3 linked regions of the Drosophila melanogaster genome follow. The protein of the gene in region 3 interacts with the protein of the main gene of each other region in a pairwise test. Each region holds a gene or a part of one and is shown on either strand. Other genes may lie near its edges. The genes, in order: CG5151, CG17364 and CG8191.

Evidence for each region.
Region 1: the proteins of CG8191 (region 3) and CG5151 interact in a two-hybrid assay, tested with the Drosophila melanogaster proteins (one large-scale study listed by BioGRID).
Region 2: the proteins of CG8191 (region 3) and CG17364 interact in a two-hybrid assay, tested with the Drosophila melanogaster proteins (one large-scale study listed by BioGRID).

Annotation. Positions count from the first base shown.
Region 1 is NT_037436.4:16,157,865-16,168,762, reverse strand, and holds the start of CG5151 (uncharacterized protein), read left to right. Parts: upstream 1-4,061; 5' UTR 4,062-5,094; intron 5,095-10,898.
Region 2 is NT_037436.4:13,987,338-13,998,431, forward strand, and holds the start of CG17364 (uncharacterized protein), read right to left. Parts: upstream 6,064-11,094; 5' UTR 5,639-6,063; exon of another isoform or gene 5,492-5,638; intron 1,290-5,491; exon of another isoform or gene 1,091-1,289; coding exon of another isoform or gene 605-1,090; exon of another isoform or gene 541-604; intron 1-540. Other genes in the region: CG9040 (uncharacterized protein), read left to right, coding at 605-1,090; CtsK1 (cathepsin K1), read left to right, coding at 7,015-7,063, 7,454-8,443, 8,523-9,133; CG17361 (uncharacterized protein), read left to right, coding at 9,869-10,501; CG17359 (uncharacterized protein), read right to left, coding at 10,826-11,094.
Region 3 is NC_004354.4:15,727,403-15,737,547, reverse strand, and holds CG8191 (uncharacterized protein), read right to left. Parts: upstream 5,371-10,145; 5' UTR 5,358-5,370; coding exon 4,320-5,357; 3' UTR 4,307-4,319; coding exon of another isoform or gene 3,995-4,306; 3' UTR 3,885-3,994; downstream 1-3,884. Other genes in the region: Arp6 (Actin-related protein 6), read left to right, coding at 515-1,711; MagR (magnetic receptor), read right to left, coding at 2,056-2,159, 2,227-2,304, 2,374-2,449, 2,942-2,995, 3,096-3,179; CG12379 (uncharacterized protein), read left to right, coding at 3,625-3,837, 3,995-4,306; HUWE1 (HECT, UBA and WWE domain containing E3 ubiquitin protein ligase 1), read right to left, coding at 6,401-6,503, 6,581-6,771, 6,846-7,011, 7,075-7,396, 7,461-7,649, 7,717-8,118, 8,191-10,145.

The sequences.
Region 1 (10,898 bases), on a different chromosome or scaffold from region 3:
CTGCAGTCTGCTGCTGCTCCTGCTCCTTCTACTACTCCACTCCTCGTCTCCAGATGGAGCTGCTCACTCCGCTCCAGCTGGAGCAGCATCCCCGCCAGCGGTGTCCATAAAAATGGCATTGTAATGGGACTTTGGAGGCGTCGCCATCGTTGCCACAGCAGAGTCACTGATTGACACTTTTTATGTTTCAGCAGCGGCTGCTGCTGCCGGCAAAAGTTCAATGAGTTATGATTCGAGACAGGGCTCTTTGTATTGGCCATTGTTCCATCTTTAGCCAGTCAATGGAGGGCTTAATGAGCTGGCTGTCTTTCCGAACGGAGAAAGGCGGCAGGAAATTCATTAGTGCGGTGAAACCTTTTTGGGGTATGTGTACCTGTTGCATCCGTTGATAAATCGAACTTGATGCACGGAAGAAAATGCACTTGTATCTATATAAATATATATATGGAATTTCAGTTGGTAATCAATTTTAAGTTAAGTATTTCATTTGTCTTAATATATATAATTAAAACCCCAATTTCGGGTTAGGTATTTCATTATATTCATTACCACTCAAATTTCAAAAGAAATAGGGGTAGATATAAAACCAAAGTTCCCCGTTTTTTTCCGTGTGCAAACTTATCGATGCTCTTCATTAATTGTGGCAAATTTTGAATGAACCGAGTGAAGAGTCGTGTGTTTCGCAATCATCATCTGTATCTGTATCTGCAGCAGTATCTGTATCTGTATCTGAATCTGAATCTGAACCGATGCCCGACTAGACTCATTGTCTGGGCAGCATGTGAGGCGATGCGATTTGTGTGTGAGATGTGCCAACGCCATTTGCCTTTGTTTTTTACTTTTCTTGTTACACATATATAGAATATATATATTCTGCCACGGCAGGCTGACTGGCGGTGTCTAAAAATATCAAAAGCAGACCCATCGCATCACAACATCGGTGCAAGTGAAGTAAGTGCAAACTGGTCTGCGATGTGTCTTTTGTTGTCTCGCCACAGTCTGCTTATCACAATCGCAGCAGGCCAAAACAGCAGCAACTGAAATCTGAAAGAGCTGAGCTATATAGGCATCACAAACGCGATCGCAATCACATTCAGAATGGGAATCGGTCGGTTGTCGCCCTGCCAACGGACGCAATGAGTCAAAAGTGGTCTTTTTTGCATTAGCCACAACAATAGCAAGTTAATGACTAACACTCGTGAATGCAGATTAATGCACATATGTGGGCGATACCCTAGGCAAACCCTATAAAAGACCAGGCCGCCTCGTTTGGTTTCCTAGAAGTTGGCTAATTTGATAGGCAGCAAGTGTCTGTGGTGATCAGATAGATAGATTAGATCAGATTATCAGAGTGAAGAGTGAAAGTTTGCTAAGAAATTATTAGCAAGGAGCGGAAACATTAAAGCTGTTCTATAAGTGATTTATTTGTTTAATTTATAATATTTCCAGTTAAACGTATTCTGTTCAAGCAACTTTAATTGCGATACTCGCGGCAAAGTTTAATCGATCGCCGTGGGGCATGAGGTAATGGTGTAAAGGCTGTTCGCTAGCTCATATTACGTATACGACACGTGCACCGCCTCAGCGCTGGCTGACAATTAAAAAAGCATACATATGCATCCATTTTATTTATTTAATTGCCACAATTTATTTATAAATGCAGACAGACAGCTCACAGCCTTGGCACGATCACTTGATCGCATCGATCCCATCGATTCTATGTGATCCAATGCGATCGAATCGATCAATCCGATGAATCGAACGGCCAGGTGGCACAAAGCAGCCGCCAAAAAGTCAACAGAAAGCAAATTGCCACCGCGAATAGCCAACCTGAGACCCACAAATCGTCTTTCCCCCACATCAAAATAAAAAAAAATATATATAAAAAAAAAGTGAGAAAAAAATGGGGAAGATACGTCAGCACATATTAGATTATCAACATAAACAAAAATGTTCCGTCTCGTCGTGTGTGTACACAATTCTTTTATTTTTTTTTAATGTATTTTTCCCCAACTTTTTTTTTGGGAATATTCATGGTAGGAAAAAATGTACTTCTTTGTATGCCAAAAAAAGCAAACACAGACGAGAGACGCGACCAAGTGCCAGTTTTGGGTGAATTGCGGGTTTTTTTTACTTCGCTCGGTTGGGTTATAGGTGCTGCCGATGGTGCAACCGGTGTGGTGAGGTGGTCGAGGGGGCGGCGGTGCAGGACGGGTGGGCGTTTCTCCTAGTAACCGCAGGTAGGTCGCCAGACATCGGCATACGTGAGAGACCCCGGCCAGACAATGTTAATTAGCACTTCATGATAAGTTGTCTCTATTGTTGCCGTCGTCGACTGTCGACAGTCGGCTGAAAAGTGCGCAGCGGGGGTGCTGTAGTTGCAGGGGCGGAACATGCCATTCCAGGGTGTTAAATGGTGGTGGGGGGGGGGGGGTGGATTATCAAAAGGGGGCTTGGGGGTTGAGGCGACTACGAGCGACACGACACATTCGATTAACAACAACCGGCTAGCCAGCAACAAAATAACAAATCCGCAGACATGCTAATATATTTGAAGTTTCTATTTTAAAACAAAGCAACAATGTCTGGCTCACCAATATGGAAATCAACTATCAGATCTAGACAATATGTGCTACCCATTGCTGTTTCGATTGTAGACTGTTGAGTATATATGATACAAATACTGCTAGTAAGCAAAATGAGTCATTTAAAAACGGTCTGCAATTTGATGCACATACCTCATTAAATTTAGAAGCAAGATTATAAAATATGCAAACCAATATTCTATCAATCAAATATCGAATACCGTTATGCAATAGAGCATACAAACTTTACGATACCCATTACTGAAATTACAAATTCATTACCTCTAGGTATTATAGGCCTATGGGATTTCTGCGTAATTACTTCACTCACATCAACTAATTAAAATTGAATCAACAAATCGCAAACGGGTCAAATTGTTTAAATTTAAATTTATTACTTTGTGATAGGGCATTCAAATGATATACCCCACTATCACCCAGTAATGGGAGCGCAAAAAAAAGGTCGAAACGCGTATCATCAAAGGAATGTCACATGTGAATCATATCATTAAAAATAAATCCAAACAAAAATAAAATAAAGGCGAAATAAAGCTGCATAAATAAATTTAATTAACGTGCGGTTGCCGGCGCCCCTTACCCCCGCAGCTCCACCACCCCGACCGCCCGTCTGACACTTTAATTTCTTGGACTTTGCACGGCGGCTCAAGTCGGCAAACAGAAAAACCGCAAAAAAATCGAGTGACAATGAGCTAACCGAAATTTAGCTTAACAACAACAAAAAAAAGCGAAATAAATATTTATACGCAAATAAAAGCCTGGCAAGTGGAGTAAGATGAAAAAGTGAATACAAATTGTGTGGGGCATAATATGAGACGAAATGAGAGGGTATAATTTATAACCCATAAACGAAGCTACTCAAGAATATATGTCAAATTGAATAATTAAAAATGTTAACCGTTTTAACAGTTGCTAGCACCACTGAATTCGAAAATAAACAATTAATTGATACTGAATATAAATACAAAAAATTATATAAAAATGAATAAAGCTTTTATAATTGTTATTTTTCTCAAATTATAAAAAGGAAACTAATAAAAAACTAAAACGATGCATTTATAATAATATGAAATGATGTATTATACAAATATTTAATCGTCAGCTGAAAATAAATGTAATATTTATATAGAGAAAAGGTTTTATAAAAACGGGAAATCCCTGGTCAAGTTTCTCGACTATCTCATACCCGTTAATCAGCTTGAGGTAGTGTACGAGTAACGGGTATAAAAACATATCATACTAAAATACATTTGTGCATCGAACAACAAAAGAGTTGGGTTAATTTTTGTTAGAAACTTCCAATTACCTCGTTCTCTTTGCGCCTACTCTTTTTCACTCTTCTGCGCTCTCTTGCGCGCTCTGCCACCCCAAAAACTTGTTTCGTTGTCATCGTTTCGTTCGAGTCCGATTTGTATTTGTATTTGCACCAAAGCGCCAAAAACTCTCCGACGCTGCGGACGTGTGTGTTTTTTCGTTCGCCGCCAAAAAAGCAACAAAAATGCCAGCGATCGGCCACAACAACAACAGCAGAATGGATAATGTTTGTGTGTCGTGCTTGTGATTGTGCCTTAGTTTATTGGGAACCAAGTGATTGATTCGAAACTAAATAAATAAATAAGTAACTGGAGGTTTAGCAACAACACGGCGGCGTTACGTCATGGCTGTCGCCATTGTTGTTGTTGCGTTGGCATACTTTCGATGCTAGTGTATGAGGGAAAACAATTGTTTTGCGCTTTTCGCCTGCGATAATTATTAAAATAAAACCAAGAGAGAGAGAGAGAGCGCGATTGAGAGAGAGGCAACTTTGTTCCGCTGCTACCCGTTCCGCTCTCGCTCTGTGGTGAAGGTGAAACGTGCGAAATCGCAATGGAATATCGAGTCGGAGTCGTGTGTTTTTCCGCTTACGCTCATTGAAACTTTGCGTGCTTTTCGGTTAAGTTCGTTCCGTGCGCGCTGGAAATAAATTAAACTCGAGCAGAAAACACCCAGAAAAGCAGTAGGAAACGCCAACAAAAAAATATGACAACAAGCCAGAGTTCTTACACTGAGCAAGCAGCAGCCAAACAAAGTGAAGCAAAATAAGCAGCAGCAAATAATAAATAAATACACAAAGCCAACATATTCAACTCACACACACACACACATAGCCAGCGTTCCTGTACTCAAAAGCATTCCTAATCGCCGCAGAAAAAATAACAACAAGCATCAGAAAGCAGAAATAACATCAACAAAAAATTCAACAAAAATAACAGCAAATAAACAAATTAAAGAAAATTAAGTTAAAATCGAAATTGAAACCATGTATATAAGTGTTGCTTAGATAAATTCGACGAAAAAGTGTCACAAAAAGTGTCAAGTTAAAACAAATATTAGGAAATTTATGCCTCCAACATAGCGCAATTCCTAAATCAATTGTAATCTAAAAAAAAAATAGTTAAAGCCAATACACAAGTAAAAATCGAAATAAGAGCGAGTATCACGTCGATATAAGGTGAGCGAAGCACTTTTTTATTGGGAAAAACCTTTTTTTTAAGCCGATTAGCCATAAAAGCACAACGTAATTGAACTTTGGAGCTGCAAAAGTGTGCCCAATATTCGATAGCCGCACTGTGTGCGCTATCTAATTATAAGCTATTCATATTCCATCCAAAATCTGCTCTCTATAAATCGCATTCCGGCGACTTCCTGTCAACACTCACACACCAGCGCAAAAACAAAGCGAAAAACAATAAAAAATCGTAGGAAGAGCTACGAAATCCAGTCAAAACCCGTCCACTGTCCACATAAATGCAATAAATTTTGAAATCAGCGCTGGTATTTTTCACTATTTCCAACCAGACGACAGATATCACACCCCCTCGCCAATGATTTCCGTCCCCAAAAGACAGGAATACGAAAAAAGAGTATTGTGGCACGTATAACATTTGTTTTAAAGCGGTTTTGAATGCTTTTAAGACCCTTAATATTTTTTGTGGCTGTCATAAAGCATCTTGTAATAAATTAGCCGCGGGACCGGAAAATACATATATTTAGTTATTGTTTGTTGGTCAGGCAGACAGACGTAACAAATATTTGGTTATTTAACTTGGGGGGGCTTGGGGTGTGCCTTTGGCAGACTTTTGGGGCTTTGGACTAATGCCGTTTCATATTTAATTAATAATCCAAAAAGACTTAAATAAATTGGACGTTAATATTTGGGCCTATAAAAACTGTCTGTTCTAATATCTATATTCATTAAAATTTAAAAAAAATTCTAAATGTTAATCAAAACAGTTCATTTTGCTTACATTAATGTAATGTTAATATTTACAGAAGTCATCAAGTTTCTTTCAAATGAATATGGCACTATGAAACGCCCATACTCTGTTCTCCATTCTTACTAAAAAAAAAACAAACGAAAAAACTCCAGTTTAATTAGAAAGAACGCCATAAAATCGGGATTTTCTCACCTGAAACACAAAGCGCCTGACTTAGCTTTGATTAGATCTCGCAAAGACGGTTTTTTGGCTGAGAAAAAAGCTAAGAACTTCCCAGAAGAGCTTTATCTTTTCTGCTCTATCGGAGCCGCAAGGTTCTGGCTTTTCTTTGGCTCTGGCTCCGACTTTGGCTTTGACTATGATGGTTATTGCTATGGCTATATGGCTGTGAAGACAAAAGGCCCGGGCCATGGAGTTTTGATAGAGGAGGAACCAGAACCGAACGAAAACCAAGTCAAAGTCGCGTGTAGTATCTCCCCTCTCTATCTAGGTGGCTCGCCCCCCTCTCGCTCTCTCTCTCTCTCTCTGCCGCACAGCAGTAGGCAAATCACTTCCGTTCAATGAACCCATGCGTAAGCCAGCTCTTCATCAGCTCTTTTGCTTTTGCTCTTGCCTTTTGCTTTTCCTTTGCTATTGCTATTGCCATTGCCTCTTGGCTATGCCACACACATACACGCAAACACACACGCTCGCTCGCACACCACACACACCAACAGTCAGGAACACACACAGACCCTCACATGTGGCTCAGTCTCAGTTTTTTTCTCTTCGCCTTTTACATACAGATGTGGTGAAGTCAATAGAAGCGCCTAACTTTAATTTTAACTAGAATAAGGGAAAAAAAAAACAAAAATTACTACGAAACTGGCTCTCAATGGAAGCAAATGTGTAATCAGAACAAAGTTATGTTTTAGAATGTCAATACTCTAATGTTAAAAAGTACCCTTATATTTTGCCATTATGTTCAGTGCGAGTTACAAATTCATTGAAATCGATCATAAAGTCTTTTCCCCGACTGTAGGAAATTCCCACAGTCACACACACGTGCACGTAAAAGAGTTCCCATTGCTTTGTCGTCTTTGGCTTACCTTTACACATCCACATGGCCTCCCACCTTGGGTTTTCCCCGCACCCATTTGCAATTTTACCCCCCGAGAGCATAAGAATGTTACGCATACGCCTCGTATGTTGTCACGGAAAATTTGACTCACTTGGCCGGCACATTCCAAACATCTTAACGGTTGGCCATTAAAATGGTCATTATGTTTTGACTTACCTCCCCCAGTCGTTTACAAAAATGCCAAAAATTTTCGCTTAACCGAAACGAAAACTAAAACAAAAGTGTTTCGTTAAGAGTTCATGAGAAAATCGCAAAGCAGGCGACAGTGGCTCGATTGACCAGAAAATTAATCGAAAGCTAATTAAACAGCTGACGATATGGACACACACACACACAAAGGCACATGTACATATATAGGGCTAAATCAAGGTCTTTTGTTTTTGCCATATCACCGTCCCTGTCGCGCAATATATCGCTCATACGCCCCATGGCCGCTTATCAAGCGTCTGGTCTGGTTCTTCTGCCTGCTTCTGCGTCGCTTCTTTGGCTTCTGAACGGTGTGAGAAAAGGTGGAGCCAGGCAGCCGGTCTTATCACCAGAGTTCTCGTCTCTTCTCGCTTTTCTCTATATTTTTGTTTTTGCGTTTCGTATAGAGGTCCCAACACACAGGCGCACAAAAAAAAAAAAAAAAAAAAAAAAAAACAGAGATACCCATAGAACCCATGGACTTGAGCACCTGTCCAACGGGGCCGACGACGTCAACAGCACTTCCCGCGCCACCCACATGACCACCACGACGGAATCAGCAGCATTAAACATCGGAACAGCAGTAACACCACACACTCGAAAAAATTGAACCCATGGAATTCCGGAAGGGAGCTCTTAGATTTTAATAGCATTTTGGTATTTCCACAGAATTTCATATTAGAAAATAGGACTTGCAGATAACTGTGATTCTGTTGTATTTACACACAGATACTACTATAAAGATACATGTAAGTGTATCTAATAAGTCCACCTTAGCTTTTGAAATATATTCTAATTTCTGCGAGTGCACCACCAACACACACACAGCAAGCGAGTATTGAGATTAGAGAACGGACAGCAACTGACGAACGACGGGCGACAACATTCCCCAAGGTCATTAATAGTGCTGCAGTGGAGCATTCCGACTGGCGAGGTGGGTGGGATCGGGTGGGATAGCCCCGGTGCAGGCGGGCGGCGACTGATTGAGGGACCGCAGTCATTTCGATAAGGAAATCGCCAGCGAGATGACCAGCCAGATAATCACCTGTTGCGACGGCAATGCCGACTGCTCATTGATTGACCCCCAAAAAATTGGTGAAATAGTCGAGTGGTTGTGGTTATGGTTATGGCTACCAATCTCTCACTCCCTTGAGTTGATAATAAATAAAAATAAAAACACTAATTGTCGCGAGAGAAAACATTGTACGTTTTATTGAGAGCTTTAAATTAGAAACATTTTCAGAGTTCGCAGCTCAGCGAAAAAAAAATTCCGAACTACAAGGTTTTCGTTATCTTTTACAAAACATTAAACAACAATTTAAAAGTGATTCTTTTAGCATGTATTCAAAGAATTCTATATTTTCTTGGAAAGAAATCGAAGAAAAATCATATAATAAAGTGCGGATAGGAACATTACATTTTATGTCTCATTTAAGAATGTATCTTAAATCAAATTAACTAACTAACTAACCAGTTAGGCATACCCGACTCATAGTTCCCGCATTTATACCCTTTAAATTGAGCGAATCATTGGAGTTCGTAATCAAGTTTACTCACACACACACGCCGACTGCCGACTGGAAGACTCATATATAGTCATCAGTTCATTCCAATCGGAATCGGCCAGTTGTCTGGGTCGAAGTCTGAAATTTGCTGTTTTATTTCGCTTCGATTTTACTGTTTCTGCGATTGTTGTTACTACTTTTCGGATTCGTTTCTCCGCCTCCTTTTCGCACTTTTGTCGTCTTTTCCATTGTTTTCGTTTGTATATTTGTATATTTCGATCTGCGTTTCGTCTCCTTTCTTATCTGAAACTCAACTTTTTGTGATATCCGCCAGACGCCGCGATACTTTTGCGCCTGCATACATTTTCACTACAACAACGCTGGCAGCTAATAAATGCTAATTTCTGTTAGTTTCTATATAAAAAAAAAACACCAGACACACACTCATACACACACAAGACATGAAGGTTCACCGAATATCTGGAATTTGGGGGCTTTCTTTTGTCTAAAGTCTACACATTCATTCCCACCAGCTTATCAGCTTTGTTCATTCAAAAAATACGTATACAACAAATCGAGATTTGTGATTTGCAAAGGAACAACAAACACACACTATTTCCAAACTGGACAGACAAGCGGCGAAATCGCTAATCGATTGACATGCGGTCTTTGCCTGATTGTTTGAAGACGTCCCAAGAGTCCAGCTGAAAAGTCACAGATTAGGAGATTCGCAGGGCTTCGCATATGTAGAAATGAGAAGACAGCCCAGATTAGTCAACAAATATTTAAATATAGTATAGTACATTTGTACATACGTACAGGGAGAATGAAAAGGGGTGATTTAAAAGTGAAATTAAACTAAACTGCACACAGATAATGGGCTAAAAACCTGCATTTAAGCACAAAATTTCTACGAAAGATGGAAAATTTACAATTTATAATATAAAATAGTATATGTACTATCTGTCCTTGTGGACGTAACAATGACTAGCAATTATGGAAAGTAGAAGCCAAGCTAGATTGGCAAAAAATACTGTTCTGTTCAGATAGGTCCTAATAATCAAGAAATTTCATTTCACTGATTATAAATTGAATGATCACAATCTCTTTTATTAAAAAATTAGCATATTGATAAGTGGAAATTCCCAAAACTATCCTAAAAGTAATACATAAAATTGTGATGAAATTCAAGTTGTCTATAATAATGGAATAAGCATTCTAAATCTATAAATTATCTTTTAATACTCGATTTTCATAATGTTCTATACCACGAATTTGGTAGCAAATGAAAGCCATTTTCTTCATAGTGAGAACAAACCAAGTAATATTTAATATCAACCATGGAGCTAAGGGACTAACCCAACCCCATAGTATCCTTCTAGAAAACTCAGCTGAATCTGCGAGTGGAGCATGTCTGGGCCCGAGGAGTATCCGATTACTTGGAGCGACCCTGACTTGTGCCACGTCATGCCACTCGCTTCGTGCTCCGCTTGTGTGTGGTCAGTAGAGGGTATGGTATAGTGTGTCATATATGTACATATAGAGTAGATGTTGAGCATTCAGACAGCCAGACAGCCAGACAGCAGCGGATGCCGGTCGCAAAGGGGTAGGAGCTGGGGACGGGGAGAGGGGAGGGGGGGCCACCACCTGATAAGGCCATAAAGAGGCGAGTCGAGGCCTAGAAATGAAACGGAAGCTGGCTATCGCTGTGTGGAGCCATTGGAGCAGATCTACTGTGTGCAGCAAAGGCACCAGACACTTGACTAATGCTCCCCCTACATACCCATACATACGTATATATATCGCTACCCCATTCCCAACTAAATAAACCACACAATAGCGCGATAGCTGAAGAAAAGTAAAGAAAAGGAAAAAAAAGCGACAGAAACTCTTTCGCTTCTTGGAAATTTGTCTCGACAATCAGCAGACTCCCATGACTTAGGCAACATTCTTGGGTTTCTCATACAGTGAGAGAAAAAAAAAGGGTAATGCCATTGGGTAATCAATTCAATGGTACACTACTATTTCAATGCCAGTATTTTAAAGGGGAAGTAGTTTATGTAACATTTAAGCAATTCATTCATCTGCAAGTTAACTTCACCTTAAAAGTAAACCTTTTTTACTACACCATTTATAATCATTTTTCAAAAAGGTAAAAGAAATATAGAAAAAAGATTAATGACAGGCATCTTATATAATGGTTATTTCTTGGGCACTGCATTTTTTC
Region 2 (11,094 bases), on a different chromosome or scaffold from region 3:
AAATATATTTAACTATTTCACCCAATGTTCAAAAGACAAGAAAACATTCTACATAAGTTTTTATCGGCACGTGTTTTTTCCCTCATTTGTAAATAAATATATTTTTGATAAACAAAAACATACACCGCATATACTTGAAAAATTATATAATTTTAAAGACGTTTAATGTCATATCTATTTTTTCTATAAAACTACTAGCAGGTCGCCTAACGCGTAAACCATAGACAAATTGTTCAAAAATCCAGATAAGACATTTGTGACCTTGGCTCTTTTAATATAAAAGAGTTTATATTACTTTTTCGTGCTCTAACACAAAATATAATTTCATAATTTCAACATATAGCAATCGAAAAATGTTAAACAAATACAAGCAGCACACACAGGTGCTCTAAGCCACCGAAAATTAAGACGATGAATTAAAAAACCAATATTTGCATTCTACAGATGTACATAGAAAAATAATGTAAAAAAGCTTTATATATTTATAAATTTCTTCAGAGGAGAAAAAACTATAAATACCCAGTGTTGAAGACTTTTAAACTCAGACGTTTATACCTAAGGTTACCTATCTGTTCGTTGACTCTATAGATACAAAAAAAAAAAGATGAGGCTGCTGTTGGTTTTAAGCCTGGCCATATTGGTTGCCTTCGTAACGGGTGCTGATGACACTGACGATGACTATTACGATTATTACGACTATGGTGATGACTACTATGACGACTCTGATGTAGAGTCCAGTTCGGAAAGTGGTGTTGGTGCATCCAGTAGCTCAGAAGATGATGCTAGTACCTCCGAGGACAGTTCCTCCGGCGAAGCTTCCGATACAGGTAGTTCTTCAGAAACTTCTGGAGATGGTTCCTCCGCCGAAACGACCTCCAGTTCAACTCCAACCAAGGCAGAAAAAGCCAAGAAAACTGCTGCACGCAGAGCTAGACGGCGCAGGCGCACCACCACCGCTGCTCCCAAACGCAAAGTAGCGGCAGCCGCGTCTGCCAAGAAGCAAACACCTGTTGCCCAAAAGAAGAAGACACCTGTGGCAGCCAAGAAGAAGGCGAATACTGCCGCCAACAAACGCAAACGCACAGGCTAAGCAGTTCGAAAAAAGGATAAATTCCCCATAGTCACTGAAAGTTTTTACATCAAACTTTTAAGAGGACCAAGAGACATCTTGTAGAATCTACATTAGTCTGGGAATATTTCATATGTTGTTTTCTGTACAAAAAATCCATATAAAAATACAAAGATAAGGAGACGTTTTGTAATTTACCAAAAATATACATTATTAATCCAAAATATACAACAATTTTGTATTTGAGGGCTTAAATGATCTTTCTTCGGAGAGAAACTAATCATTACAAATCGTTTCTGAATACTTAAAATCGAAAGCCAACTAAAAATCAAGTATTCCTTAAAAGGAAAAAAATTTTTTGAACGAAACATTCATTTAATAAACTGTTGTGGTTTATATACAAGTCTCTGCAGCCAGATTAGTATAAATCGTTCTAGTGGCGTAGTATTACCAAAGTCAGCTGCATTTTGCTGCATATTTTTAGGCGCCCACATTTACATTTACCAGCGCTTTGGCGCATTGTGTTTCTATTTAGACGTAAGCCAATAGCATCTATAAATAGTAATTATGCCCTCATACAAGTAGACATAAATGCACAGGGACACTTAATTACTGATGCGCACAGGCGACAATTGTTTAATGGCGAAAGGATAACGAAAAGGGAGGAGCCTGAGTAGCGCCATCGGCCACCACAATGGGACCATTGTTTTCGATTTCAATGCCGACATTCTGGCAGTGGCACTGCCAACAGAAATCCCGTGTATCCAGTGCACTGCGGCCCAGATGAAAGCCACTCCGCATCCAAGTGTTTGTGTTTGCCCGAGAGAGATCCAATCTTCCAGTGTGCTGGTGGCGGCAAAGCACACATCCATAGACACAACCACACTCACACACCGATGTTTCCTCTTGTGGCACCCGCTGGGCCGCTTAGTGAGCCAAGTGTGGCAACAATCTGAATCATCGTTTTAGTTTCCACCCTACATCCCCACCACCAGATCACCAGGGTATGAACCGATTTGTGAATTCGCCGGGAATCTTAGGTTGGGATGACCAGTCAATAACAATATCAAGCAGGAAATGGTTGCAAATTATCGAAAATTCTATGTATCTACTAGATTTGGTGTTATCTACGCAAATGTCTAAAAGTTGCATTAAATTGTGGATAACTTTGATTTGATTTATACATTCTTATATATAATTTTATTTTGTTAAAATCCTTTTTTTATTATAATAATAAAACAGCTTTGATCCTGAATGTTATAAGTATCCTATTTCAGGATCCGCCAAACTAGCTAAGCTTTTACAGGGTATTACACCACACTAACACCATTGGCAATTGTAGGCGATGGGCTGACGTGGAATCAGAGGGGAGGTGGGAGCGGAGGATAAGGCTGCTGTAATATCTGTGGCTGATGCCTTAAGAGGAAAATGCGATAATGTGCGCTAAACAATGAACAATGCAGAAATGGCATAAAAATAGCCAGAAGTGGGATATGAAGTGGGACACAGCGGCGGGAATTATAATGGAATATGTGTTTGCCTCCGAGGATGATAACGGCCAGGATGATGGCGGTCGGTGGTGTTGCTTTGGTTAGCACTCACAATGATGTGATGATGATGGCAAGTGCCCGATATATGCAGATTGTAGGTGTGGCTGCTGACGTTGATGGGCACCTTTGAGGAACAGATCGTCACATTTTAGATACTGCTTTTGACATTTACATGTTTTGCAATGCAAATCAGATGGGGCACAGACTGGGGCTAAATGAATTGGAAATTTAAAAATGACGACCATTTATTTACATAGGTCTCGCAAACAATCTTTTCAATTATGAGACAATCTTGTCCATGTTTGTGAAATATGGATAAATATTTAGAGCATTTCCTTCACATACATATTTTTATCGTTCTTTACTAGCTAAATAGTTCTATACTAACCAATCTATACATGAGTGTAGTTATATCTCTTCTAAGTTGATATCTTTTGCAATATTTAGCACATAAATCAAACTTTTGAAAATTTTTCACATTGCTCACTTTTTGATAAAAATCTTAAACGCCCAACAAAGACATAAACTTCCTCCTTGTGGATGTATAATTTGAAAAACAATTTGCATTTTCTCGAGGGCAATTTATTTTCCATTCCTTCGGTGCGGCAAAAAGTGGCTGAGGGCAGGGAAACTAAAAGTTTGCTCACTCCAAAGAAATTTTCTCTAACAAGGCATTTAGTTGGCAAACAAAAATACGTGCATATTTCTAACCCGACGGTGGGCAGAATGTTTATGTAATTACCGACACGTTTATAAGCGATGGCGTTTTTGTCAGCAGCACAAGGGGCGGCATAGGGGCAAAGGACTCGTAGAAAGTGAGCGAGTAACTAGCAAAGAGCAGAGCAATTTATTTAAGTGCGAGATATTTTTATGTCTCGGCAAACCATTAAAATGTGCATAATGCAATCCCTTCCAGCACTTTGCATATAAATTTCAACCGGCTGGGGCAAGTAGCGCCATAGCGGAAATGCAAGTCCAATAACAAGGGCAGTCGAGAACGAAAGGGATTGGCATGGGCTTAGTGGCCATTGCATACACTGTTAAAAAGGGTGTTGCGAATACAAATTTCATTTCATTCAGAATCAAAAATGTTCGCTACGTTTTCGGTGTGAATCTAGTTAGATTATTGATTTCGTAATGTGTATTTAAGGATCACATTTATTTATTTTAATTGACCTTATTATTCTGTATTTCAAAATAATATTTTCATATTTAATAATACAAATTAATAAGAGAACATAAAATCAAAATTTTATATGTACATACATTTTTATATTCGCATTCCTTTTTGAATTTGTAACCCTTTTTCACTCCATGTAGACCAAAATAGCTTATTTTTTGAGAGCCCACACTTGCAATGCCAATGTGAATGAACGCACATCCTGCTGCTCCTGTGTGTGAGTGTGTGTGTGTGTACTAGGATATACCTCAGAACCTCTCCGAAGGGAGAGGGGCACCGTTACAGTAACGGTAACGGAAGCAACGAACGCAAACATCATCCTGCATTCTGCATCGCCGAAGCTTGCTTGGCCCGCTCTCTGCCTCTCTTCCTCTCTGAGAGGAGCAAGTCGGAGAGAGCGGAAGAGCGGTGCGCCTGCCCCTAGAGAGTACCGTTGTTTCTAGCGGTACATAGGGCTTTACGGAAACTGCACTCGTGTGCGTGTGTGTATGGGGGTCCTACTTTTAGGCACTGATAAAGGCAAATTTACATACGCCGAAATGCCCCACCGCCCCCAGACTCCCGCCCACTTGGTTTCGGCCACGGCTTTTGGCTTCTTATGTGTCGCCGATGCCGATGCCGTTTAAAATGTAGGTTACACACAGCGAAAGAGGACCCGCAGACGCACACAAATCACATTCACACAAAAACATTCGCACACATTCAGAGCGAGAGAGAGAGAGAGCAGCACACAAATGCACGTGTATACGTATATGCAATATATTTTAGAACTTTCCGTTTTTCCCTTCGGAACGTGTCCTGCTCTAAGGTAATAAAAGTTTTATAATTTTTTGGTTACACACACACACGCGCGCGCGCCTATGAGTGTTTGTGTGTGTGTGTTTGGCTTTTGTCTTTCACTGGGGGCCCAAGTCAGCTGGGCCTTACAGATTTTGATTCCCACAAATTCAAAGTTACGGACTCCGTGACCCGTAAAAGTATGCTACCAAAACGAACTATTCGCCAGTTTTGCGAGAGATTAAAACGTGAGAAAATTAAAAAATGTTTTTTGGCAAACTTTTGAAAAGGGCTCATAAATAAGAAAGTTTTGCCTTTCAGTTTGGTTCCAGGAATTTAGGTAAATGTTATTTAAAAATTAAATTTACTAGTCTTTTTTTAAATGGATACGACGTTACTATTTACATATTTCTCTTTTAGGGAGAAATAAATGATTCTCTAGTTTCGCACATAGGATTTTGATTATCTACACTAAATGGTTAACTATTTCTTGTTAAAAATTGAGAGAAAACGAAGTCAAAAGTATTTTTATATTGAATCACATTCATTCCACTAAAAGGCCAAAACAAATATGCTTCATATTACAAACAATCCTTTTACAAAGAAGCTCTTATTCCTTGCTCAAAATGCAATTTTCGTTCCACGTCAATATCCAATTACACCTTAAGAGGCATTCAAGGTCTTCTAGCATCCTGCTGCTTGTGCTTTTCCACGAACATAATTTATATTGTTTTTGTTGACTTTTTGATGACCGACTGTGTGAGCTGGTGAGCGGCGGAATAGAGAAAATGTAACAACTGTGACAAGGGCAGGAAATGCTCCTCTATGCCCATAATACTATACAGATTTGAACCAAAAACACATACATATAAACGCCAACAGCTATGTACATACATATGTATTGTATTGTAGTACCTATGTATGTGGATGGATCATGTATATGTATGTTCGTCTGGGAGTTCTTGTTTTTGTGTGGGGATTCAAAAGGCCTGCCAAAACAGCCAATCAGGAACCAATCAGCGATAAATCAAAGTTTGATTTCATTTTCAGCAACGTTGCTACCTTTTTCGGACTGCTTTTCCTCCGCCGCCAATTACAGAAACATTTTGTTTTCGCCTATCGCGTTAAAACTTTCACATAATTCGCCTAACTTGGCGTTTAAAACATTTAACTTTGGCCAATTCGGCGCAGGCAAAACTTTTTGCCTCACTGGCACGCACACACAAGCACTTTTCGTTTAATTTTTAATGCACTTTTAATTGCGTTTTCTTGTACGGCGCACTTGTACGGTTTGCAGTTTGCATTAATCCACGTCTTACAACATTACCAGATATCTGTGTGTTGTCTAGTTCTTGCTGGTATAAAAAAACCATGCGATTTGGGAATCGAACTTGTGCGATTGGCGAACTTAACGGTACTGAGCCGAACCCACAGCTGTAACGGTAAAGAACGATGTGTGGGCGAGGACGACAACGACGACGATGCTGCTCCTTCGGTGGTAGCTTGACATCTGCTCGGGGTCCTTTCGGGATCCCGTGCTGTCCGACTATCGGTTCGGTTTGAGAGCGGGCGCAATGCAGCAAAACTTGGAGTAGGTTCAAGTTCCGAAGAGAGGGTGAGACTTTATATCGCTGAGACACAGAGAGAAGGGAAGAGAGAGCCGAGAGAGAGTCGTTGTGATGAGACAGATGAGTGACTATCTATACCTCCTGACTGTCAGCTGTTTAACGAATTTAAAAATAGAATTTTTCCAATCCCGATTTTGATCCCTAGACACGGTTTTATTTTTTTCTGACAAATTTTTCTATTTTAATCTTGAATATTAGATCATTCGCGGTTTTTTCGATTATTTTTTATTGAAAGCTTAGCCAGAAAGAAGTGCATCCAATATTTTAAATTAAAAAAAAAAACATTTAATCTCAGCACTTTGGTCACACTAGATGTATAAAATATCTGTATAATCATGTGCACCCTGTGCACGCAATAAAAATTGTAATTGCTATCGATATTTAAAATAATATTGCAAAATCAAACTAAACCTCTTAAGTTACAAAATCGAAGCACATGATATTTTATTAAAATAAAGAAGCAATTCTTCAGTAAGTGAACAGAAAAGATATTTCTTCTAATAAAGAAATTCTTAAATAAAAGAAAATGTTAACGGATTACATAGAATTGCGAATAATTTGTAGAATAAAATACTACCATGACAAAAAGCAAAGAACTTTGATAAGCTCTTATTACAAACTAGAAAGCTCTTCAACCGATTAATACCGATGTTTTTCACGGCGGCGTTATCTCCTCACCCATAGAAAGTTGTTGTTAAAGCAATCGGACTATTGAGCCGGCAGAACAGTTTAATTCTTCGAAAAGATAGGTAGTATACTAGAGTCGGGATCAATTAATATTCCAGACAATTCTCTGGTGAATTCTCAAGAATGCAAGTGTTTTTAGCTTTAGCCCTGCTCGCAGGCTTGGCTTTCTCAGGTGAGTTATAGACGTTAGAATGCTAAAGTGTTTAGCCAAACAAAGAGTAATTGTTTCTGCGTTTGTGTGCGCTTTAAACTAATGCACACATGCATATATTAAAACAATCGAGGTCATCGTTTTAGGATTGAAACTTTAGCTTATCATCATTTTTTTTGCCATGAAGTATATTTAAAAAGTAAAAAGAACATGTTTTTATTAAACTTTTAAATTAGATCAAATAAACGTAAAAGGGCATGTACTGCTATTTTGACCGCAGCTGTATATATACGAAGTATATAAGCAATGGCGTGAGCTTAAACCTCGATGGCTGCCCTTTACCGTTTCTTATTGTCAAGTTCCCGCTCATTTCTCATCTGAATCTCTCCACACTTTCGCCAACGACAATAGCTAATGCCACGAATCCGCCGAAATGGGATCCAAACTACATAGTCAAAGGAACCCTGTACATTCCGTACGCCGAGATTGCGGAACCCTTCTACGCCTGGTATGACAAGAATACGAGGCGATCCCGCATCGATTACTACGGCGGAATGGTGAAGACATACCAACTGGCTGGCGAGGGTCAGTACGGAACCCTGCTGAAGCTGGCACCGATTACCACCAAGACGGAGAACAACAAGCTAACCTGTCTGCAGGTGAATGGCACCGCCGACCAGGCTGTCGATATTCAGAGCATCCTGCCCGATGCGAAACCTTTCAGCCTGGTGGGCACCGAATCCTTTTTGGGCTACACGTGCGACAAGTTCCGCCTGGAGTCGACAATTGGCCAAAAGAAGAACATCTATACGCTGTGGGTGCGGTACAAGAAGTCGCCGCATTATCCCTCCAGCCGAATGCCCATTCCCGTGCGCTACGAGATGAGGGGCTATAACACCCTGCTGGGATCGCACTACGATCATTACTACTTGGACTATGACAGCTACGAGCACGATGATATTCCCAACGAGGTGTTCGAGATCGATGACAGCCTGCAGTGCGTCGGATTCCCCGGACCCGGCACCGGTCACTATGCCACCTTCAATCCCATGCAGGAGTTTATATCCGGAACCGATGAGCATGTGGACAAGGCCTTCCACCATTTCAAGCGCAAGCACGGAGTTGCTTATCACAGCGACACGGAACACGAGCATCGCAAGAACATCTTCCGTCAGAACCTGCGCTACATCCACTCAAAGAACAGGGCCAAACTCACCTACACGCTGGCCGTTAATCACTTGGCCGACAAGACCGAAGAGGAGTTGAAGGCACGACGAGGATACAAATCATCGGGCATTTACAACACCGGCAAACCGTTCCCCTATGATGTGCCCAAGTACAAGGACGAGATTCCCGACCAGTACGACTGGCGGCTATACGGCGCTGTCACTCCGGTGAAAGGTGGGTTCATTCATTCCCTAAGTACTTACTTAGATGAATTTGATAATATTGAATTGCTTAAAACGTAAACTACCCTTAGATCAATCTGTGTGCGGATCGTGCTGGTCATTTGGCACCATTGGTCACCTGGAGGGCGCCTTCTTCCTGAAGAATGGCGGCAATCTGGTCCGGCTTTCCCAGCAGGCGTTGATTGACTGCTCGTGGGCCTATGGCAACAATGGCTGCGATGGTGGCGAGGATTTCCGCGTGTACCAGTGGATGCTGCAGTCCGGCGGAGTGCCCACGGAGGAGGAGTACGGTCCCTATCTGGGCCAGGATGGCTACTGTCACGTCAACAACGTGACGCTGGTGGCACCTATTAAGGGATTCGTCAATGTGACCTCCAACGATCCAAATGCCTTCAAGCTGGCTCTGCTCAAGCACGGTCCTCTGTCGGTGGCCATTGATGCTTCTCCCAAGACATTTAGCTTCTACTCGCACGGAGTTTACTATGAGCCAACGTGCAAGAACGATGTAGATGGACTGGATCATGCTGTCTTGGCCGTGGGCTATGGCTCGATCAATGGAGAGGACTACTGGCTGGTGAAGAACTCGTGGTCCACCTACTGGGGCAACGATGGCTACATCCTGATGTCGGCCAAGAAGAACAATTGCGGTGTTATGACCATGCCCACTTATGTGGAGATGTAGATTGTCCCGCTCCCGCCTACATATTTCTTATTTTGTGTACTCTTTTTATTTTTACGCCCACAGGGCGCTAAATATGCAATACATTTCATAAACTCTTTTGTAATCCAAGTCTTTTGAATCTTATCACTGCTCCGCTTGGCTGGAAATGGAGCTAAGTTTAGCTTGGGTCATTATCTCCGCAGTCCATGGTGTTTCTTAAGTTAATTCCATGCCGATAAGCCGATAAGCCTAGAAGACAATGACCAGTTACCAGTTGAACTTTGCGCAAGTTGCAACAGTTTTATGCGAATCGGGGTCTTTGCCATTTGTAGTGGAAATCATTTCTACAGTAAAAACTCGCTACATTTTTAAAAATTTTAATCATTTAATTTCATCAATATTAAATTAAACATATAATTAGTTTTAAGAATCTTTACTTTGAATAATGATTCTAAAAATAAGTATACCTTCTTATTTAAAAAACTTGCAAGCAAAGCATTGAATTTTTACATTAAACCCGTTTTACAGTTTTTCAATTAAAATAAATTAAAAATATAACATGAAGAATACTTTCAACTGATTCTACAATTTTCACTGCTACTACATTTCATTTTAGATTAATTGTTCATTTTAAATAATATATTTATAAGTTAATTTGATATAACAACAAATAAGTCTAAATTTAAATACATATTTATTGGCATAGATGTTGCATCCCTGGAATTGCGCCAATTGGTATTTTTCTGTTTTGGCTTGATGGTCATCCGATACAGTTTAGTTATTCTTTTTGAATTGTATTTGCTTGGAATCGAAGGAAGCAACGAAGCCATGGATGAATTGGTGAAGATGTGCCGGGTGTGTATGGACGAGCCGAAGGACCTGCTAGACATCTACGACAACAAGAGCTTGGGGGACAGACTGAGCGACGATCTACAGCGAACCAAGGAACCGGAGCCCACGCCGGCTGATTTGCTGAATATCTGCAGCGCATATCCAGTGGATACCGGGGACGGCTTTCCGCTGAAAATTTGCGAACCGTGCCTTATTAAATTGCGTGAGGCCTTGAGATTCAGGAGACGCTACACAAGGACCATGGAATACGTGGCGCGCGTGAAGAGGGAGCAAAGCGACAAGGAGACATGCGATCTCCTGGAGGCCGAGGATTGGGATTTTACGGATCGCATCAAGAGCGAGGAGGAGGAGGAGGAGGACGATGGGGACCGGAACGATAAGCAGCCGAAGAAGGAGACTCGCAACGAGGTGGATAAGAGGCGGCCCTTCAAATGCACCGACTGCCAAAAAAGTTTCACCGGCAAGGCCCAGTTGACCATGCACAGGCGCACCCACACCAAAGGATCCACAAGGACCAGACGAAAAGCTCTTAAATAGTCCTTGGCAACGCTTGGCAAAATGTAGCCAACTAAAATAGTAATTAATCATCTTGTATCATCGTTTTAAAAATAAGTTCGATATATTTTTAAAGTAGAAACAAGTTAGCGACTAATAATGAAAGTACATATGGAGTGTAGTTTTAAAAACAATTTCATGTTCTCATATTGACAATAAGATAATAAAGAAATGATAATCGGATCGATTCACAACAGTTTTTAAGCAGCTTTCTCACTTTGGTTGCGATTACTAGCTTTGTCGATTTCAAACAAGAAATTATTATATGGACATTCAATATATGAAAATACCTTTAACAAATCTTAACTATTTAAACTTATTTCTTTTTGTTTCTTGGCTGCTCGTCCGTCGCTTCCCTCGCGTGTGTGCTGACATGTGTTTTTGTAGGCCGTTTAGTTGCTTGAAGCTTTGCTGACATTTGGAACATTTGAACGGCTGTTCGCCAGTATGAGTCCGGGTGTGGACTTGCAGTTGCCCAACTTGCCGGAAGCGCTTGGGGCAGTTCGGACAACCGAAGGGACGCTCGCCGGTGTGACAACGTGTGTGGCTCTGCAGGTTGCCCTTCTGGGCAAAGG
Region 3 (10,145 bases):
ATAGTTTTTTGTACTATATTTGTATTTTGACGAAATATAGAATTGTTAGCGTTCCAAAAGTTTGTTTGATCTGTGCTCTATTTTTTTTTTGTCCTTTTTAATTTGTTGTTGCCCGTTAAAAACACCAAACATTACGATTTTAAAATTCTCACTAGATCCAATTTAAAAAAATGGCTAGATTAATCGACAGCACTAAAGCAGACGAAGTGTCATTTCTTTTCCTCTGTCGAAAAATGCTATAGATCTACATCGAGAATATTATAATTTTATTGTATGTGTATTTGTATTTTGCTGAAATATAGAATTATTAGCATTCCAAAAAGTTGTTTCTTGTGTTTTCATTTTGTTTTTGTTTTCCTTATTTAATTTGATGTAGACCGTTAAAACACCAAAAATAACGATTTTAAAAATCTCGATAGATTGAACAAATTAATCGACAGCACTAGAACAGAAGAAGTGTTGTTTGTTGTCCTCTTCCGAAAAATGGTATAGATCTACGTTGAGGACGAAAAGGATGGCCAACGCTGTGGTGGTGTTGGACAACGGAGCGCATACGGCGAAAGTGGGCCTGGCCAATCAGGATGAGCCCCATGTGGTGCCCAACTGCATCATGAAAGCAAAGAGCGAGCGGCGACGCGCTTTTGTGGGAAATCAGATAGATGAATGCCGGGACACATCGGCGCTCTATTACATTCTGGCGTTCCAGCGCGGCTACCTGCTCAACTGGCACACACAGAAAACGGTGTGGGATTACATATTCAGCAAGGACGGCATTGGTTGTTCGCTGGAGAACCGCAATATTGTCATCACTGAGCCGCAGATGAACTTCCAGAGCATCCAGGAGGCAACGCTGGAGATTCTGTTTGAGGAGTACAAGGTTGATGGGGTGTACAAGACCACTGCTGCCGATCTGGCTGCCTTTAACTATGTGGCTGACAGCGAGGAGCGGACTACAATGGAATCGCTTAACTGCATCATCATCGATGTAGGCTACAGTTTCACCCACGTTGTTCCTTTTGTGCTGGGACGGCGCGTTCTCCAAGGCATACGACGCATCGACATGGGCGGGAAGGCGCTGACCAACCAGCTAAAGGAGCTAATCTCTTATCGCCACCTAAACGTCATGGACGAGAGTCATGTAGTTAACCAGATCAAGGAAGATGTCTGCTTTGTGGCGGAGGACTTCAAGCAGGCGATGCAGGTGCATTATTCGGAGGAGAAGCGACGCGAAGTCACAGTTGATTATGTCCTTCCAGACTTCACCACCGTCAAACGGGGCTATGTTCGTGTTCCCGGAAAGCCGCGCGAGGATGAGGAGCAACAGCAAATGGTGTCGCTGTGCAATGAACGTTTCACCGTGCCCGAGCTGCTCTTCAATCCCTCGGACATTGGTGTGCAACAGGTGGGCATTCCGGAAGCGGTGGCCGATTGTCTGAAGGCTTGCCCCTGGGAAGCGCACCGCGAACTCCTGCTCAACATCCTTATTGTGGGCGGCAGTGCCCAGTTTCCGGGATTTCTGCCGCGCCTAAAGCGCGATTTACGTGCCCTGGTGCCCGACGATCTTGAAGTGTCACTCATCTGTCCCGAGGATCCGGTGCGGTACGCGTGGTACGGCGGCAAGGAGGTTGCGACCAGCCCCAACTTTGAAGAGTTTGTTTACACGCAAGACGACTACGAGGAGTACGGTTTCCAGGGTATCAATCAGCGGTAACATGCACGTAGTCGAAGTATTTTTTCAATAATAAACTTGATTTGCACATGGGTTTTCTAGAACATTCCTTGTCTATATATTGAACTAGGGCTAAAGAGGACAAACTGCCAGCCTGCGGCAAGGAAGCGGGTGCGTCACTTACCTAGCGCTACAACTAAAATTTAACTATAGAACACAACTTAATATTTAGAATTCGTTTGCGAAGTAAAATTTACAAAGGATGCGGTGCTTTTGCCAACAACGTAATGAGATACAAGGTCGGGCCGCGTACTGCATTTAACTTAGTTAATTTAGGTCTGTCTGCGAGGCGGGTGCCGGCGGATCTCCTCCGGATCTCCATCGGTTTACATGCTGAACGATTCGCCGCAGCCGCATGTGCCCTTAATGTTCGGATTGTTAAACACGAACTCGCTGGACAGCTTCGATTCCACAAAGTCCATCTCGGTACCTGCAAGCGAATTATACTCTGTATTAGCTGGCTTGTCCAATGCTATGCTAAGCTGGTATGAACTTACCCAGCAGCGACAACTGCGCTTTCTTGTCGATGAAGACCTTGACGCCATCCTGGACCACCTCCTCATCCAACTTGTCTGCTGGCAAAAATCGACACAGAACGCAGCATTAGATCTCCACCGAACAACATTCTGTCCAGAGTGGCTTACCTTTTTGGCTGGCATAGTCCAGCGTGTAGGACAGACCATTGCATCCTCGCTGCCGTACGCCCACCTTTAGGCCAACCTGTGGCAGAAACAACATCGAATTTCTGTCATTAACTGTGTGGCTAATTTATAGGCAGCCTTGTTTATTGACCAAAGACAAAGAACTCGGTATTCTAATAAGTCTGTCTCAATTCAAAGAATTTAATCACTTAAAAACTAAATGATTAACAACAAGATAAACATGCTCATCAAAATTTGGTCGGGTCAAAATTTGGAAAATCTAGCTGATTAACGCAGGCCGAATTAGTTAGCATGGCTTATATTTATAGCTAATAATTTGCGCTAAAATATATGACTGACTGAGGAAAAAGCCTATTGTCAAATATAATGCTTGAAGAAGCCCTCTTGCGAACTTCCTATACTCCATGCAACCAGTGCTAAAACTTAAATAACATGCACGGGAACCTTTAAAGAGCTAGGCGAGATTATCAAGATCTCAATCGTGGAAGGCGATAGAATGCCCACTAAAGTGTAGCCTTGGTTCGATGACAACTTGTCAGCAGTCACTCACCATGTCCGGCTTGTCCTGCAGAAGCGTCTTGATGCGTAGCACCGCCGCGGGTGTCTGAAAAGGATTGGGGGAGATCAGAATCATCAGATCGAAGGGGACTGTTACTTCATCAGCAGCAGCATGCGCCGATTTCACCAGGTTTTGGTTTCCTTACCAGAGTCAGAGCGGCCCGCGTCGGGATTAACTTCCGGCCTTTCACCGCCCGCACTGTCGCCGTTGCCACCACACGTGTCGCCATCGGTTCGTGCCCTTTATATAATTTGTTTGACTCGAGAATTTCCACAAAAAAAATTCGAAAATATGAGTGCTTACTACCAGATGGTCGATAGTACTGTCGATAGTATCACGTGAGATGGCATTAACAGATGTCATCGATTGGCAGTGTCACGGGATAGCGGAGAAACGGTTACTACCTGTTTGAAAAATAAGTTATTTTTAAGCCCCAGAGTCCAGGTGGACTTCATTAATAACTTAACTTAATATTTCACAGTAGAATTTATATTAACAATTGGTTTTAATGTCTGTGAGTTACAGCAAATTTTATCAGCACCAGTGACAGCTATAGTAACTTTTTAAAATCGTGACTCGCGACTAGTTTTGAAATGAAAGGAGGTGCCATCTCTAAGTTTAAATGAATTTCACACTTTTCGATTGAGTTAAATAATATCAACAAAATCGAGGATATGTCCGCCCTAAAAAAATTTTATAAAATCAGCGCAGGTGTGAGAAGAGGCGCACTACTTACCAGTTCCCGAAGAACACAAATTGATGCTTTAAATAGTCCACAATTGCAGTTGCAAGTGCATCACTTTGCAACCAAAACACAAACAGCTGTTTTTAGCAGCAGCAACAACTACACGTGCATTTGCCGCAGTATACACTGCAGTAAGCCAGTGGTATGTTTGGAAATCAGTTGTAAATACAAATAAACTACCCAATTGATATTAAATAATGTTATTTACATTTGTAATTTAAAATATTATAAATGGAATGCAATATTTAAAATTATGTATAACAAAAAAGTTAAGTATAATTATTTTGCTCTGCTCCCAGGACGATGCGGACAAGACGGTGGCCACGAATAGCATTCCTCTGGCGAAACTGGAGGCCAAGATGCAGCTGATCTACACCTGCAAGGTGTGCCAGACCCGGAACATGAAGACCATTTCGAAGCTGGCATACCAACGCGGCGTTGTTATCGTGACCTGCGAGGGCTGCTCCAATCACCACCTGATCGCCGACAATCTGAACTGGTTCACAGATCTGGACGGCAAGCGCAACATCGAGGAGATCCTGGCCGAGAAGGGCGAGAAGGTGGTTCGCCTGACCGATGGCAACTGCGAGTTTTTGCCGAAACATGATTAAACTCGTAGTGTAGTTAAGTGAAAACGAATGCCACTTTATTTAGCAGCTCCAGCAAATGTGTCCAGGAATTGGGGGGTAGTTGGGCACGCAGCTGCTGGGCGAACTGCCGGCGACATATGGATCCGGTGGCCAGCATCAGGTAGGTTATGTATGTGGCCTCGTTCACGGGCAGCTGCGAGACAGCCGTGACTGGTGCATCAGCGGTCAATTGCATCTCATCCAAGTCTAGGTAGGGCAGGTGGCGATTCCAATGGTCGATTAGGTAGGCAATAAGGCTGCCGGCCAGACGTACATGCTCCATACTGGCCCAGAATCTCATCTCATTGGCGGATTGCGATACGAACAGAAAGATATTGTGCAGGAAGCCGGTGCAAGCGGTAGATCCGCCCTCCGATAAAGTGTCACAGATCATGTGGCGCATTAGGTAGCAATCCTTGTGAATTTCGCTGTCCTTTGGCTCCCTAAAAAGCTGCAGCCACACCTGGTACTCAATCAGCTCCATGGAGCGCTTTATTGCGGTCTGCATGTCCTCAAGGCTGGATAAGCGGCCAATCCGCTTGACTAGCCGTCGCATCTGCTGAAGATCGGGATTGATAAAATCGCTGGAAGAAAGCGCATCCGATTGGCGTATTGCCGACCAGTCCAAATCACCGATCTCACTCCACGCAGGCTGAATCTCGGCCAACGTTCGATGCGAAAGATGAAGCAGTGGTGCATGAGTTTCTCCCTTTCGTGTGTTCACGATGGTGGTACACAGCTCACGAATACACTTCCGTCGATCCACCAATGCAGAGCAGCTAGCGAAGAAGCCACGGCAATCGCAGCGTTCGGCCAGCGATTGCCCGAAGCGATCATAGCACTCGAACAGGTACAGGTGAGCCTTTAGCAGGGATTCCACAACGGATTGGCTCAGTCGCAGATGGCGGTGCTCGGAGTGCATCTCCTCCTGACAATCGTGCAGCCATGTGAGTAGCTTGAGACAGTGCGGCGCCACATCTTCAAGCACGCTGCTCGTGGATAGGCTCAGTTCTTTTCGGATAAACAAATCCATACGGACTGCAGCTGTCAGCTGTCCGAAAATTCGATGTCACAATCGATAATGTCGATCGGTTTGCTGTGCATGAGATATCGATCTGTCGTTGCCCGTTGCGATAGAATCGAATTTCAAATTGAAAGGCGCCCAAATTAAATGAGATCGACATTAAGACCTTATATATGTATTTATTTATATATATGGCGTACCCATCCTTTCCAGCCGCATTTATAATGAGCATGTGAAGTGATTTCTGAAAATTTATTGTGATAAATGAGCTTATTCTTTATTCCACATTCTTTAAGTTACATCTGCGTCTCATTATTTCAAAGGTAAACATAAAATGCATTAACATAAGGACTTATCTCTTACATCAAAATACTTTAATCCATTTAAATATTTTTTCTGTTGCTTCCCTTTATCTTCGGTACGTACATTCACTTAAGTAAACAAGTAACCCAAGTGTGTAATCTGTTTATGTGCATTTGCGATCTATAAACTACGTTTAATCCTTTTCTATTCGGTTTCGCGTTTGGGTAAATGAAAATGTGTCAGTGTATTTTTTTTCTTTATATAAATCCTTTTCTTTTGATAAAAATGTGCAAAACGACAGAGATAGATTCCAAAAAATTAATAAAAAAAAAGATGAGTTGCGCAGAGAATTTTAAATCGAATATACTTTTCGCGTCTGTATCAGTTTTATATTTTATATTTTTTTTTGTTAGGTTTCCTTAGTTTTCTTCCGTTTTCTTTTGAAAATTTAAGAAAATATATATTGTATATATATATAGGCGCGAAAATTAATAATTAATTCAACATTTTTATATATACTATATAACTATATGTACTGTTTATGTATGCAGTTTCTGTTGCCGCTATCGCAAATTTGCAGTGGCTGTTCTGTTCTCTTCTGTTCTGTTCAATTCAAATCAATTATGCATTTCTCATCGTTGCACCCGTGTATTTGAGGGCGTTGTAGGAATAGTGTTGCGTCCATGGTTTGTTGGTTACTGGTGGCTCTGCCGGCTGGTGCTTGAAGCTGCCGTCACAGTTGTCGCACCTTAGGCGAAGCCAAAGCCCTCGGAGCACTCGTGTATGGCCTTCAGCAGGCAGCTCCGCAGCTTGTCGTATGACTTGTACATGGGCAGATCCAGTTGGTTGAAGCTGCAATCAGAGATGGGTAAGTTAATACGGTCTATGACATTGCAAACAATTCATGCGACTTGTGGATCCCTACTCACCAGGTGTGTGCACAGGGCAAGCGATCAGTGGATCGATCGTCCCGATGGATTTGGAACTTTTGAATCCCGTTCATGCCCTCCAGCGAGCCGAAGCCCTGCAGCGGCACTTTCGATGTGCCAGTGACGAATTGCAGGAACTTGGCGCGGTCCGCTTGGTCAAAGCTACGCAGTGCACGCCAGAACCATTGAATCTAATGAATGGGTAAAAAATACATGGTTTAGAGAGGGATGGAGGATGGAGGAAGATGCACAATCATGGTCTCACCTGCGCCGATTTAGAGGTGTACTTGTGGTACTCGGTGTTCGCCTTTAGATCTTCAATGTCAATATCCGGCAGGCCGGATATGAGAAGTTCCAGTTCCTGTTCGTTGAATATCGAAATTAAATGCTTTGGAATAATGTCGTAGAAGCCTTCAAGGAATGCGTCCAATCTGTTGTGGGGAGTAGCACGATTTAAAATCCATAGCATGGAATATAAATATATGTGTACTTACTGCTGTCGAATGGAGCCGCTCATCTTGAGCTGGCACACAAGCTGCACATACTCAAACTTGTTCTCCTCGGTCACGGCGGTGTCGCGTCCGTTTGGCTTGAGATCCCGGATTTGGGTGACACCGAACTCCTGCACCTCGGTGGAGAAGGTCAGCTCGTAGCCCAAGGTGGAGATGTCGTTCTTCATCAGATAGTCGAGACCCTTGTAGAACTCGTAGTCCTGCGACTCCATGTCCGTGTGCTTTACCTGCTTGCCCAGGATGTGCTTGTAAAATGAGCGAGTGAAGTAGCACTCCAGCAACTTGTTGTCGTGCACAGCCTTGGCTATTAAATAAGATCGAAGGGATTATAGAACGCTTGATATAGAAGGAGTATCTAAGAGACTTACCAATTACGCGGCCGACAAACTTGAAGTAGCTCAGGTGATTGGGGTTAGCATGGCTGGAGGGATTTATCATGTAGGTGACGCGATCGCCCGGCGATACGCAGAACAAGGCATACATCGGATTAAAGATCTCGCGCGATATGATCACATACCACTCGCGCAACAGGCCGCCAGCGTCCTGGCCTTCCTCATCTGTAAGGCAGATAGATCGCAAGTATGAACATCGCTAGTTATTCATTTCTATTGTTCGAAAACTTACCCTCAAAGACGATGTAGAAGCGGTTCTTCCACTCCTCCGGACCCAGACGGTACAGGACACGGAACGAATCCTCAAACACGGTTACGCGACGAACACTGACCGTGTGCTCCTCACGCCGTATGCCCTCGTCCAGCCGCTCCAGCTCCGTCTGGAAGTACTTGCGCTTGACATCAAAGTCAAGAATGCGTGTGTGGTCCACAAGCACGGCAAACGGTCCGTCGGAGAGATGAGTTGGTGACTGGCGCAGTATCTGGTTAAGCACGGTGCGGTGCTTCTCGGCGAATTGTAGGAATTTTTGCCGGTCCTGCCTCAGCTGCGCCTCGTGCGCGCTCATCGCTGTGCTGGTCGAGGGGTTGGTCACAAGTGGCGTATTCGTGGATGCATCTTGCATTCGCGGCTCATCTGGTGATTAGGTTATTAAAAATGTAGCAGATTGATTATATGGAGAATGTTTTGCATATTTCCTAAACTCACCATCGAAACTAGCAGAACTGGGCGTGTTGGCGCTGCTGACATCGTCCATAAAGGGACTGTACTCCTGGGCAGATGGTGCGGCTGCTCCCAGTCCTCCGATCGCACCGGCGCCGGCGGCTGCACGCAGTCCAAAGCCCGCAGCGTTAGGCATAAAGCTGCGACCCGACTTCTTGGACGCACCGCGATGCGAGGCGTGGATGAGGAAGAAGGCCTCCACGGTCGGTTGCAGCACCAGGACGGCAAACTCGTCCTTGGACTCCTCCAATGCCACTAGGCACTCGCTGAGCGTGTTCCACAACACGTCCAAGCAGAGGATCTGACTCAGAGTAGGCTTGGTCGACTTGCTAGCGCTTGCCACTGCATGATTGCCAACTCCTGGGAAAGATCTGGCCTCATCGTCGTCCTCCTCGTCGTCATCGCCATCTTGTGCGATCTGATTGGTTTCCATGGGTGGCGGTGGAGATATTGTGCTGGCAGACCCGGGAGCCATATCTGAACTGCTGCCGCCGGACGCACCACCATCACCCTCAATATCAATGATATCGTCGTCGTTGTCGCCGGCACCACAAGCGACTCCACCGCCAGTGGACAAACCGTTCTGCGCCTCATACATGTCGCGTACCTGCATGAAGATCTTCAAGGTTCGCAGGAAGTACGGCTGGGCGGACGAGTTGGACATGAGTTTCTTCATCGACGGCAACTGCAACTCGCAGGTGGGCTTGGCATTCTTTGGTGCCGAGATGATCACGTGCTCGGCGGTGAAGCGATCCTGCATTATGCCCTCGTGCACGGCCAAGTTTGGCAAGAGACTGGCTCCGGATACTGTGGGTACGTATGATGCTGTTGCTGCAGCTGCCCCGGAAGTGGACGCCGCCTGTGAAGTGGTGCCGGCCCCGCCTTGATGAATGTTATACATGCGAATCTCGTTGAGCAGCATCTGTATCGCTTGACGTACCTCCTCGGCCAATCCCAATATCGCAGCGGTCAAGTACTGAATGAAAATGGCACTAGATGCCTGCGAGCACTGCGTTAGATTCACAATTAGCTTGGCTACGTTGTCCAGGCCCTCGGTGGTGCCGCACTGGTGCGTCAGCACCTCAATGACCAGCTGAAGCTGCGAAAAGTTCTTCGAATAGATCTTTCGACGCGGTTTCGATGGCGTCACCGGCAGGGCCACACTTAAAGTTGGCAGCTGGGTGCGCTTCGCTCCCGCATTGCTATCACCGGATGCAGGATTACCACTGGCCGGAGAAGCCTGCTCCTCAATGTTGGCGGCCAGACCGTCACCAATTTCTGTTGCTGTTGCTGTATTCTCGGCTGGTGGTTGTGGTGGTGGGGGATGTGCCGCTGCCGCCGCCGCTCCCGCTCTCTGCACCGGACCAATGGGTACCAGTGGGGGCATTTGATCGCTGAGCGGCAACAGCTCCTCCTCCTTTGGCAGCTCTGTGCTGAGCGAGGCGAGCAGCTTGACAAGCATATCGGTAAGATGGGGCGATCGGCATATAACCTTGTAGGGAAGCATTTCCAGCAACTGGCCGAATGGTGATTCGCTGAACGAGAGAAAATCCGCTGTATTCGGCTGCCATTCCCACGCCGGTTGCGAGGTAAGCGGAAACTGGGCCACATTGGCCAATCGCACTTGTGTCTGTTGATCGATGTTTAGCACAACATCCCAGAAGTTCTTGGCGTTAGTCTGGTACGGCACCGAGTGCTTATTCTGGCTCCCAGCAGTGGACACTTTGGCCGTGGCAGCTGCCTTCGCTGCCGCCGCCTTCGACGTGGAGGGTGCTTCATCCAAGGGCACTGATGGTTTCGGGGCAGGATGATCGTCGAATATGCTACGTAGCCGATTAACCACCTGATAGCGACAGAATCGTGAGCGGAAATCCAGAGTTCCACCTGGTGGCACGTCATCGTAGCCTGTCAAGCCGCCAGACGCTGCAGATCCAGATCCT